Linked DNA regions of Callithrix jacchus. Each later gene encodes a partner of the first gene's protein in a complex. Links are inferred from orthologs where the notes say so. Each region holds a gene or a part of one and is shown in the gene's direction. Other genes may lie near its edges. The genes, in order: AURKA, TACC3 and TPX2.

Region 1 (3,648 bases):
TACCAGACAGGAAGGAGGCTGAGGTCAGACATGGCAATGACCTGCTCTGTATGGAGCGGAGTGGACACTATTATTTACCAACTGTTGAGTGTTCATTCCCGGAACTCAAGGGCGTGCTTCATCTACCTCATCTCATTCAGTCCTTGTAACTGCTTCATGAAGGTAGCCAGTTATTAACTCAGTTTTACAGAGGAGGAAGCTAAGACTCAGAAGCAGTTAACTGATCCAAAGAGATAGCCAGGATGGAGAGGTGCAGACAAATTTGAGAGCTCACTTAAGATGCAGACTCAATAGAAGTGGGCAATACATTGCACCTGTAAGATGAGTGAAAAGGAGTTGGGATTGATATTAACTAAGTTAGTGAGCTGGGGGCTGGAGGGGTGCACATGTGATGGGCACATGGAGGAAGAGTTTGCACTTATATCCAAATACCTGAGCAAGACTATCATGTGCTGTTAGAGTTTGAGATGTTGGAGACAGACAAGTGGAAATGTCCTGTATGTTCTTGTGGCAAATGAAATAGTTACCCCAGTCCTCTGTTGCAAACTTTTCATTGTGCATTTTGCTGAATTTGTAGCATTTATTTTTATATTTCCCCTTGGCAACTTATTAATATAATGGAGGGTGGCTGGCCTATGTTTTGCTACATGTTGGTGATAATTTGTGTGTGGGGTATGGACAGTTGGCTGGACTACCTAGTAAGGGAAAAAAGGTGACGAGGTGGCAACTTGTCATGCATGGGAAGATTGGCAATTCTGCCGGAAAAGCTCTTCATTTGGAAACGAGGCTTCAGAAGAACCTGCACAGTTTGCCTTTAATTCATCAGAGAAGGGCCTGTCTATATATATATATATATATATGTCTGTTCATCTTTAGAAATTCTATAAAGACTTCACATGATAGAAGTCAGGGTGTATGTAGGAGACCTTTTTTCTATAAGGAAAACAAAACAACAGGTTTATTCTTGACATACTATTAATATTTTGGTGACCAATTTAATTCACCTCTATTCACAACTTATCCTATATAGTTATTCTAAAAATAGGTTTTTAACTTATTCCACATAGAAAATAATCCTGAGGAAGAACTGGCATCAAAACAGAAAAATGAAGAATCGAAAAAGTAAGCTTTCTTATTTACAAAGTTCTGTCCTATTCTACTAGAATATACTATTTCATTGCAAATTTAGTTGTAAGAACTCTTGGCAAAAAAATGAGGCCTTTATTTTCATTTAGAGGATATAAATGTTTCTAGATTTCCAATCTTAAAAATGGAATTTTGTGTATTTAGGTATTTTACTAGGGACTCAGAAGTGCTTTAAAAAATTGCTTTCAAATTTAGAAAAAGCTTGTATGAGAATCTGTTACAGAAATGTGTGGAAGTTCCTCTGTCCTTAGAAGTAACCACTGCGTATGGTTTATATATGTGTCTGTACTTTTTTATTGTATAAAAGTACAAGTTTAAAAAAATAGAATATGTTGCAGAATTATATACTCATATATGACTGAGGGTTTTGACCGTATTATATTATAGCATTTTTTTTTATAAAGGTTGGCTGTAATATCTTCCCCAGGTCTTTTCTAAAAGTCTCCTCTCAACTTCTGAACTGTCCGGACTCTGGAATGTGGGGGAGGAGCGAGGAATGAACCCACAGACAGTTTTGCTTTTAGCGGCCTAACAGAGGCTGAGACTAAATCCATTGGTTCTCATGCCCCTGTAGCCTGTGGGCTCCATCCTGCTTCTGTTGGTAACAATAGCTCTATGTCTACCACCAGAGTGGTTCTCCACCCAGAGAGTGTTAACAGCTCTGGGACTGGAGGCGGTGGCTGTGGTTAGTTTGAAAGAGGCACCCCGATGCTCTGGAAGCATTCCTCCCTGTCTGGTCACTTAACCTTTTTATGGTCTTCAGTGTTGTCATGGGCCTGTTCCTCTGAGTATAGCGTGGCCTTGGGACATTTCCCATAGAGTGATTCAGGTCTGACTCACATACCTAATAGCAGCTGGGGAAGTCAGGGTTTCATGTTGCGGCAACTTTTTGATAGTGGTTATTGCCTTGGTTCTTGCTAAGGATAAATACTGAGTACAAGTTGGAATCTTAAATTGCTTATAGAATGTGTCTAGTGCTCACTGAAAATTTGTTAGCAAAGGTTTGTTTTTATAATCTAAAAGGTTCAAATTCCTTCCTAGGAGGCAATGGTCTTTGGAAGACTTTGAAATCGGCCGCCCTCTGGGTAAAGGAAAGTTTGGTAATGTTTATTTGGCAAGAGAAAAACAAAGCAAGTTTATTCTGGCTCTTAAAGTGTTATTTAAGGCTCAGCTGGAGAAAGCAGGAGTGGAGCATCAGCTCAGAAGAGAAGTGGAAATACAGTCCCACCTTCGGTGAGTTTTCAGGTTCATGTTTGAAAGAATATTCACAGATGCTGTGCCCCTCCCCCTCCTGTAATGCCAGCCTCTTCCCAGCTCCATTCACTCCCTCTTATGATGCACTGCCTTCAAACACATGGCCTTTTCCTCACCTCCCCCTACCCTATGAGAAAGATAAGCTTCTGTACCACACTGGGTTATTGAGTAATCATTCTCCTGCGATTCTCCCATGCTCTGCAGGTTAAAATAAAATTGTATTCCTTTTCTTTAAAAAAAAAAAAAGTATAAATTTATCTTTTAGAGGGCCTGCTTTTCATAGTACCACAAAGAATGATTAAATTTGTCATTTTTCAAAGATGTATCTACACTTAAGTGCTCTGATCCTGAAAAATCACTTGAGGATTTAATGTTTTGTTAATGAAATAATTTATATGGGCAAGTCTTTTTGCTGGATAATGAAGGGGAGTGATACCCCATATTCTGAGGTAGGCAGGAGTTGTGAGCAGCTACCTGCAAGTTGACTAGCGCTGGCGAGTTTTTTGTTTTCCGTTTTTTCTTTTTGCTTTCAGTGTTTTTCACATTTGAATCAGATGCTAATACTTCAAGTCTGACCACATCAGACCTGGTGTGTCTCTACCTGGCAACACCTGGCTGGGGCTGGGAGGGGTGGGCATCTCACACGGGTTGTGCTTCCCATTGGCTGCTTCCTGCTGTCTACAGTCTGCACCTGCCCAGTCTGCTCAGCACCCACCTCCCGCCATTACTAATCACTGCTTTTATCTGTCACAGTGTCTGGGTAGCAAACTACTGTGGCAATGCCATGTCTTTCTTTTAATATGTAGATAATTAATATTCAGCTGAATTTTCCTCCTAAGAGTAAATATGTCTAAAGGAAGGAAATAGTCTTAATTAAGCTAGAGGTCCATTAATACTTTGAAATGCATGTAAAATGATATGTGGGTATATATATACTTCTTGGAGTGGGTTTATAGTTTGTTTCTTAAGTGGGGTGTGGGGGGGGGTTTCATGTGAAACACGACTAGTTTTTCATGAAGCATTTGTTCATATTCTTGTCAGCTCCAAACCAAGTGTTAGAGTGTTTATCTTTCATTGCAGGCATCCTAACATTCTCAGACTGTATGGTTATTTCCATGATGCCACCAGAGTCTACTTAATTCTGGAATATGCACCACTTGGAACAGTCTATAGAGAGCTTCAGAAACTTTCAAAGTTTGATGAGCAGAGAACTGCTACTGTGAGTTTTCATTTATTGTCCAGGCAAAT
Region 2 (3,648 bases), on another chromosome or scaffold:
AATGGATGCCATGGCCGCCTAACCTCACAGGCACTCACTGCTTCATGTTGACTCTGTTTTTAAAAGCCAACAGCTCATTAAGGCAGTGGATGCCAAAACTACTCATGGAATTATCCAGAAACCAGTGGAGGCTGACACCAAACCCCTGGGGGATGCAGGCCCAGCCTTTGGGGATGGCAGCTCCGGTGAACCTGGCCCGGGCGCCCTGGCTGACCTGGACTGCTCAAGCTCTCCCCAGAACCCAGGAAGTTCTGAAAACCAAATGGTGTCTCCAGGAAAACTGTCTGGCAGCCCTGAGCAAGCCTTGGAGGAAAATGTTCGTTCTTATTCCTTAGACAAGGGAACGACACCCACCTCTGAGCCCCTAGGAGACCATCCCAGGACAGAGTCCCAACACAGAGTGGAGCCTCTGCACAGAGCCGAGCAGGAATGCAGGCCTGGCGGGGTCTCTGTGCCCACAGCAGTGGCCACTTGGCCTCCTGGTGTGAACTCTGAGGAAGCAGTCGGAGGAGCGCCCCTTGTGGGTCTGCCTGGCGAGGCCCTGGCCTGCCCCGTGAGTGTGGGTACCCCCATGCCAGCAGATGGCACGCAGACCCTTACCTGTGCGCACACCTCTGCTCCTGAGAGCACAGCCCCAACCCTGAGTCCTCTGGAGGAAGCGGCTTCGGGTCAGATGGTCAGCTCCTCAAGGACTGAACCCATAAAACTTGAATTTGATTTCTCCGATGGCACCACCCCCGCGCTGGCTTCTCAGGGCTCTTTTCACCTCGACTGGGACAAGCTGGAGTACCCAAACTTCACCCCGTTCGGAGGTAGCACGAAGTCTAGTTGCAGAGAGGCCCAGCCTCCAGAAAGCCCCAAGACCAGGCTGGGCCAGCCGGCAGCTGAACCACGGAGTCCCATGGAGGAGCTGGGCTCCCATCTGAGCCAGTGAGTGTGGGATAGGCTGGGGAGCATGGCAGGGGCAGCTGCCCTGCCCTGTTTGTGGTCCCCAACCTCAGGCCAGAGGCATCATCAGCGACTCCTTTGAGGCTGGGTGGGCTCACCCTGAGGAGGGGCCTCTGGGCAAAAACAGGGCTCAGGTGCATCTAAGCTGAGGGGCACAGCTGCCGGGGCCCTGCTGAGGGTGCTCGGCCTTGCCTTGGCTTCCATGAGTCTTTAGCGCTCCTGGCCTAAGGAGGGATCCGATAAGGGTGGGCTCAGGCCAGAAGCCAAATGCACCAACCCCAGGCAGGACCCTCCTCCAATGAACTTGACTTGGGTGCGTCATTCCAACAGCCGGGCAGAGCCTGTTACCGCCTGGGATGGCGTCCCCTGTTCACTGGGGTCTTGGCCTCAGGTCTGCTGCCTCCTGGCCGAAGAGTTACTCAGTGCGGGGTCGTCCTGCCCCAGCCTCCCCACCCGAAGCCTCCGTCAGTTTCAGAGTAAAAGGGATGGGCTCTTCCTGTGGTTCCCTCTGGCTGCGTTGCGCTAACTTTAGAGTTCCCTGCCTGCTTCTCCCAGAGCTGGCAGGTGTGTGTTTGCCTGCTGGGAAAAGGGTGGTGAGGCAGCTTTGTGGCCAGGTCCCCTGGGGAAGCCCCTGCCTGATGCACTCTAGCTGAGTGTTCCCATGACCGGCACAACAGTGCAGGGGAAGGCAGGTGTAGGGGATACCCGGGTTTATGTGGTGGGGGGGACAGGCCTCTGCCAACTGTCTCCCCAGGCAGCTGCTTTCAGCCTTAGCAGAGGACACACCTGTGGTGCAGTTGGCAGCTGAGACCCCAGGAGCAGAGAGCAAGGTAAGGGTGCCTGTGTGGGTGCCTGTGCGCCTGGCCTGCTTCTGGGGAAGAGCAGCAAGCAGTGGAAGGCCCCAGCAATCTTGGGTGGTGGGCGGGATGTCCCGCTGCCCTGGCCCACAGGTCTACTTCCACAAGCTTGTAGGAGAGACAGAGCCCCACCTCCGGTACCTTGACTGCACTGCACAGGGTGACTCTCACCTTTCCTCTAGGAGAGAGCCTCAGACTCTGCTAGCACCTCGCTTCCCATGGGCTGTCCGGACAGTGAGCCAGTGCCCACCCATCAGCAGGGGCAGCCTGCCTTGGAGCTGAGAGAGGAGCACTTCAGAGACCCCGCTGAGGGTATGTTGCCTGGCACAGCCGCACGTACATTGAGTCGCCTGTGTCAGCAGGTGGTCATTCCGCAGGCAGGTGTCCCCGACTTTGAATGACTCAAGCACAAAGTTTTGGTTTCTCAAAAGTTAGGCACCATTAGAACAGGGCTGATGCCTTTAACATAAGAGACTTCTAGGAATGGAAATTGTGGACTCAGGAAAAGGAGCAGAAAGTGTGAACAAGGCAGTGCACGGGTGAGATACAGATGCAGAATCAGCACCTGGGCCTCCTGATCATCAGACATACTGCCGGAAACAAAAGCCTTTTTTAAATTGTTTTATTTTATTTATTTATTTATTTTGAGACAGTGTTCCTCTGTCACCCAGGCTGGAGTGCAGTGGTGAAATCTCAGTTCACTGCAACCTCCACTTCCCAGGTTCAAGAGATTCTCCTGCTCAGCCTCCTGAGTAGCTGGAATTACAGGCACGTACCACCACATCCAGCTAATTTTTGTATTTTTAGTAAAGAGAGGGTTTCACTATGTCGGCCAGGCTGGTCTCAGACTCCTGGCCTCAAGGGATCCACCCACCATGGCCTCCCAAAGTGCTGGGATTGCAAGCATGAGCCACCACACCCACCTCAGCCTCCCAAAGAGATGGTGAAACTCCATCTCTACTAAAAATACAAACATTAGCTGGGGGATTATGGCGTGTGCCTGTAATCCCAGCTACTTGGGAGACTGAGGCAAGCTTGAACCAGGGAGTCAGAGGTTGCAATGATCCGAGATCGTGCCACTGCACTCCAGCCTAGCCACAGAGCAAGACTCCATCTCAAAAATCAATCAATAAATAAAATCTCAATTGGAGAGCCTAAAACCCAGGCACGCATGCCAGGCACGGTGGCTCACGCCTGTAATCCCAACACTTTGGGAGACCGAGGTGGGCGGATCACAAGGTCAACAGATCAAGACCATCCTGGCCAACATGATGAAACTCTGTCTCTACTAAAAACGCAAAAACTGATCTAATATTGACAGTGGAGTGTTTTAAAAAAAGGAAAAAAAAACACAAAAATTAGCTGGGTGTGGTGGTGTGCACCTGTAGTCCCAGCTACTCAGGAGGCTGAGGCAGGAGAGTCGCTTGAACCCGGGAGGTGGAGGTTGCAGTGACCGAGATCATACCACTGCACTCCAGCCTGGCCACAGAGCAAGACTCCGTCTCAAAAAGAAAAGCCCAGGCACGCAGAAAACTGAAGTAACGTGTAGGGATGTTGGCTCGGCTGGGTTGGGCCTGTCGCCCTCGCGTGGGATCCCTGGAATCACACAGCGTGGCCTTCCCTGTCCGGCCTCACCCTCCGGGCAGTGTGTTTTCATGACCCGGCCTTGCTGGAGCAGGTATTGGTGCTCACGTCCTTGCTGTGGCTGCAGACTTCCTGTCTTTATTCATTCATTCATGGGTTTGGTGGTTTCTGCCTCTTAGCTGTCAAGAGTAGCACTGCCATGAATGTTCAGGTGTAAGTTCTGTGTGGACGCGTACTTCCGTTTCTCCTGGATGGGTAG
Region 3 (3,648 bases), about 45 Mb from region 1:
TAGATCTTTTCAGAGTAATTGTGTTAATCATTTACCAGATGCTTTCTCTTGGTTTCACCCCTGTGAGGTGGTAGATGACTTACCTAAGTCATCAGCTCTCTTGATAGAAAAGGAAGCTAAGACACCTAAAAGGCTGAGTGACTTGTTTTAATTAATGCCACATATTAATATGATGTCTTCTGAGTCCACATTCTGGGGAAGTAGAAGAGAGTGAGGAACCTTATTTCTAAACTGCAGTTTTTTCCTTAGGAAGAGGATGAACCAGTAGTGATAAAAGCTCAACCTGTGCCATATTTTGGGGTGCCTTTTAAGCCCCCAATCCCAGAGGCAAGAACCGTGGAAATATGCCCTTTCTCCTTTGATTCTCGAGACAAAGAACGTCAGTTGCAGAAGGAGAAGAAAATAAAAGAACTGCAGAAAGGAGAGGTAGGTGTTTCCATTTCTGCAAGTAGTAGAATACTATTCTTTGATCCCTCAAAGATCGTCTTTTCTATAGTATTTTTAACTACAAAATCACTGACTTCTTTTGATCTTTACAAGAACAAGTAATTTAATCCTTCTGGCACAAGGAGGTTAAGTGACTTGCCTCTGATCACACTGCCAGTTACAGGCAATATTAGGAGAAAAGCCTTGATTTCCTTTTGAACCCATTATTCTTTTCTGCTAGAGAATGCTACTTTGAAAACTGATTGTCCTTTCTTATTTTTCAGATTCATCCAAATATTCTGGAGTAGCTACTGCTTTCCAGCTAGTCTTTATCTTTAGTCTCATGGGTTGTTTTTTCTGTTAGATACCCAAGTTCAAGGCACTTCCCTTGCCTCATTTTGACACCATTAACCTGCCAGAGAAGAAGGTAAAGAATGTGACCCAGATTGAACCTTTCTGCTTGGAGACTGACAAAAGAGGTGCTTTGAAGGCACAGATTTGGAAGCACCAGGTAGGGGATGGGGAGAGCACCCAAAATGTTAATTTCTTAGTTGGTTGGTTGGACAGGCAGACCCACTACACTGAAATCATCTGAGTTAATATACTAGATTGTTTCAGGGGCTCTCACTGTAAATCAGGGGCCAACACATTATTTCTGTAAAGGGGCCAGATAAGAAATATTTTAGGTTTAGTGAGTTACATATGGTCTCTGTCACATAGTGTGTGTGTGCGCGTGCATGTCTGTGTGTGTGTTTGCACACACACATGTTTTCAACTACTTTTTATTTTTGAGACAGAGTCTCACTCTCTCACCCAGGCTGGAATGCAGTGGTGTGATCTCAGCTCACTGCAACCTCCGTCTCCCAGGTTCAGGTGATTCTCCCATCTCAGCCTCCTGAGTAGCTGGGATTACAGGTGTACACTACCACGCCTGGCTAATTTTTGTATTTTTAGTAGAGATAGGGCTTTGCCATGTTGGCCAGGCTGGTCTCAAACTCCTGATCTCAAGTGATCCACTGGCCTCGGCCTCCTAAAGTGCTGGGATTACAAGCATGAGCCACTGTGCCCAGTCAATTCTTTAAAAATGTAAAAACCATTTTTAGGTCAGGGGCTGTACTAAAACAGGTTGCAAGCTGGATTTAGCCTGTGGGCCAGAGTTTGCTGACCCCTGCTCTAAGTGATCACCTGGGGAATGTCCCCTGCTCCAAGTGATTAATGGGGGGTTGTGGGAATGGACAGGCTTTTCTGGAGTCAGGAGTCTCTTTAAGATCTTATCTATTCCATCTGTTAGACTCATTCATTGTGTTTATTCCTTTCTGTTGATGCATTGGTAAGAAACAGTATGGGAAAATAGATTGTTAATATAGAATGCTATTTTCTCAGCATGATGTGCTATTTGCTCTTTATAAGTGACAGGTGATTTAAAACAATTAATTGATTATTTGCTGATTTAATTGGGATCTAATTCTACCAGGCTGGAAAAAAGTTTCCCTGAATTTCTAAATTTATTGGGATTTTTATGTCATCATTAATCTTGGACTGTTTCCAAAAGGAGCTCTAGGCTATTTTTTTTTTTTTTTTTTTTTTTTTAAGGAATTACCCCTCTTGAAGCCTGAGAGATGTAATGACTTACATGACTGAACGTTGGTCCCTTGTTGGTGTGGTTCTCTAGGAAACCTTAGGACTGTTGACTTGGAAATAGTGAATTTCCCCTTCTCAATGATTAAGGCACAGAATGTCTGTGTAGGGCATTTTCTGCAAATAACAACAAAAACAATTGTTTTGAGAAGTTTTTCAGACACATGTAAAAGTAGAATAGTATAATTAATTTTCATGAACCCATCACCTGGTTCTTTAATGATCAAAACCTGAAAAATCTTGTGAGCCACTGTGCCAAGTCTCTCTGCATTTTATTTGTTAAATAAACTGAATTGGTGGCTCACGCCTGGAGACGGGTGGATCACGAGGTCAAGAGATCGAGACCATCCTGGTCAACATGGTGAAACCCCGTCTCTACTAAAAATACAAAAATTAGCTGGGCATGGTGGCGCATGCCTGTGGTCCCAGCTACTTGGGAGGCTGAGGCAGGAGAATCACTTGAACCTGGGAGGCAGAGGTTGCAGTGAGCCAAGACCGTGCCATTGCACTCCAGTCTGGACAACTGAGCAAGACTCCTTCTCGGAAAAAAACTGAAAAACCAACTTTTTGTTTTTTTAATTTACAAATAATAATTGTACATATTCTTGGGGTACCTAGTGATATTTCAATACATATAGAGTATAGTGATCTGATCAGGGTAATTAACATATACATGATCTCAAACTTTTATCATTTCTTTGTGTTGGGAATCTTAAAAGTATCTTAAAAATACTTCCTAGTTCTTGGCTGGGCATGGTGGCTCACGCCTGTAATCCCAACACTTGGCAGGGCTGAGGTGGGTGGATCACGAGGTCAAGAGATCGAGACCATCCTGGCTAACATGGTGAAACTGTGTTTCAAAAAATAATAACACTTTCTAGTTCTCAGTTCAAATGTTGTCAGACTAATCTGTTCATTATAAAGTTTGCATGAGAGATATTTTACTAAGTTTTATATTAAACCTGCTATTTTTATTGATGAAACAGTTCAGACATTAGAACTTAAGTTATTGAGGTAGTAGTCATGTAAAGTTGTGGCATCGCTCATCTGACAGACTTTCTCTCTAATAGCTGGAAGAAGAACTGAAACAGCAGAAAGAAGCAGCTTGCTTCAAGGCTCGTCCTAACACCGTCATCTCTCAGGAGCCCTTTGTTCCCAAGAAAGAGAAGAAATCAGTTGCTGGTAGTATTATATGTACTCTGGTGGGACTGGGGGAGAATTGTCGGACTTCCCAGTGGGATGCTGGGACTCAGTGTGTCAGCACAATGCTGTGTCAACTAGAAGCATTTGACTTTAGCAGATGGTAGCTTTTCTTCCCCTAGACCCAGTCTTTTGCCTTTATTGAACCCAGCAGCTATGTTGAGTTCCAGGATGTGCCAGATTCATTTAAGATGAACCTTAGTAGAAGCAGCTGGTATTTCAACAATAATGATAGGCTTTCCCCACCCATGGAGAAACAAGTAAATGAGGAAGGGAGAGCCTGTATGGCTTTCTGGAATTCACTCTGAAGCAAACTTTAGATATAAAACATTTGATTCCTTAAATAGTGGGCAGTGTGCTAGAATACTGGGATTCCACTGGGTG

What was found.
Region 2: the proteins of AURKA (region 1) and TACC3 are in contact, whole or in part, in a crystal structure (PDB 5ODT), measured with the Homo sapiens proteins. The link is inferred for Callithrix jacchus from reciprocal best matches to the Homo sapiens genes AURKA and TACC3. Residues at the interface, in NP_001310232.1 of Homo sapiens: Leu130, Phe133, Glu134, Ile135, Gly136, Arg137, Tyr148, Leu149, Ala150, Arg151, Ile158, Val163, Arg205, Tyr207; in NP_001428248.1 of Homo sapiens: Glu523, Ser524, Phe525, Arg526, Pro528, Val531, Leu532, Gly533.
Region 3: the proteins of AURKA (region 1) and TPX2 are in contact, whole or in part, in a crystal structure (PDB 3HA6), measured with the Homo sapiens proteins. The link is inferred for Callithrix jacchus from reciprocal best matches to the Homo sapiens genes AURKA and TPX2. Residues at the interface, in NP_001310232.1 of Homo sapiens: Lys125, Arg126, Gln127, Trp128, Asp132, Glu152, Gln154, Ser155, Phe157, Leu159, Lys166, Glu170, Gly173, Glu175, Leu178, Arg179, Val182, Glu183, Ile184, Ser186, His187, Leu188, Arg189, Tyr197, Gly198, Tyr199, His201, Val206, Tyr246, Ser249; in NP_036244.2 of Homo sapiens: Gln3, Lys5, Ser6, Ser7, Tyr8, Ser9, Tyr10, Asp11, Ala12, Pro13, Ser14, Asp15, Phe16, Ile17, Phe19, Ser20, Ile31, Asp32, Trp34, Phe35, Glu36, Lys38, Ala39.

What each region holds. Positions count from the first base shown.
Region 1 is NC_133506.1:52,033,203-52,036,850, reverse strand, and holds part of AURKA (aurora kinase A), read left to right. Parts: intron 1-1,067; coding exon 1,068-1,122; intron 1,123-2,187; coding exon 2,188-2,379; intron 2,380-3,480; coding exon 3,481-3,619; intron 3,620-3,648. UniProt on the Homo sapiens protein: Mitotic serine/threonine kinase that contributes to the regulation of cell cycle progression.
Region 2 is NC_133504.1:191,415,743-191,419,390, reverse strand, and holds part of TACC3 (transforming acidic coiled-coil-containing protein 3), read left to right. Parts: intron 1-66; coding exon 67-930; intron 931-1,702; coding exon 1,703-1,778; intron 1,779-1,987; coding exon 1,988-2,117; intron 2,118-3,648. UniProt on the Homo sapiens protein: Plays a role in the microtubule-dependent coupling of the nucleus and the centrosome. Involved in the processes that regulate centrosome-mediated interkinetic nuclear migration (INM) of neural progenitors.
Region 3 is NC_133506.1:7,401,860-7,405,507, reverse strand, and holds part of TPX2 (targeting protein for Xklp2), read left to right. Parts: intron 1-249; coding exon 250-426; intron 427-790; coding exon 791-937; intron 938-3,134; coding exon 3,135-3,246; intron 3,247-3,648. UniProt on the Homo sapiens protein: Spindle assembly factor required for normal assembly of mitotic spindles. Required for normal assembly of microtubules during apoptosis. Required for chromatin and/or kinetochore dependent microtubule nucleation.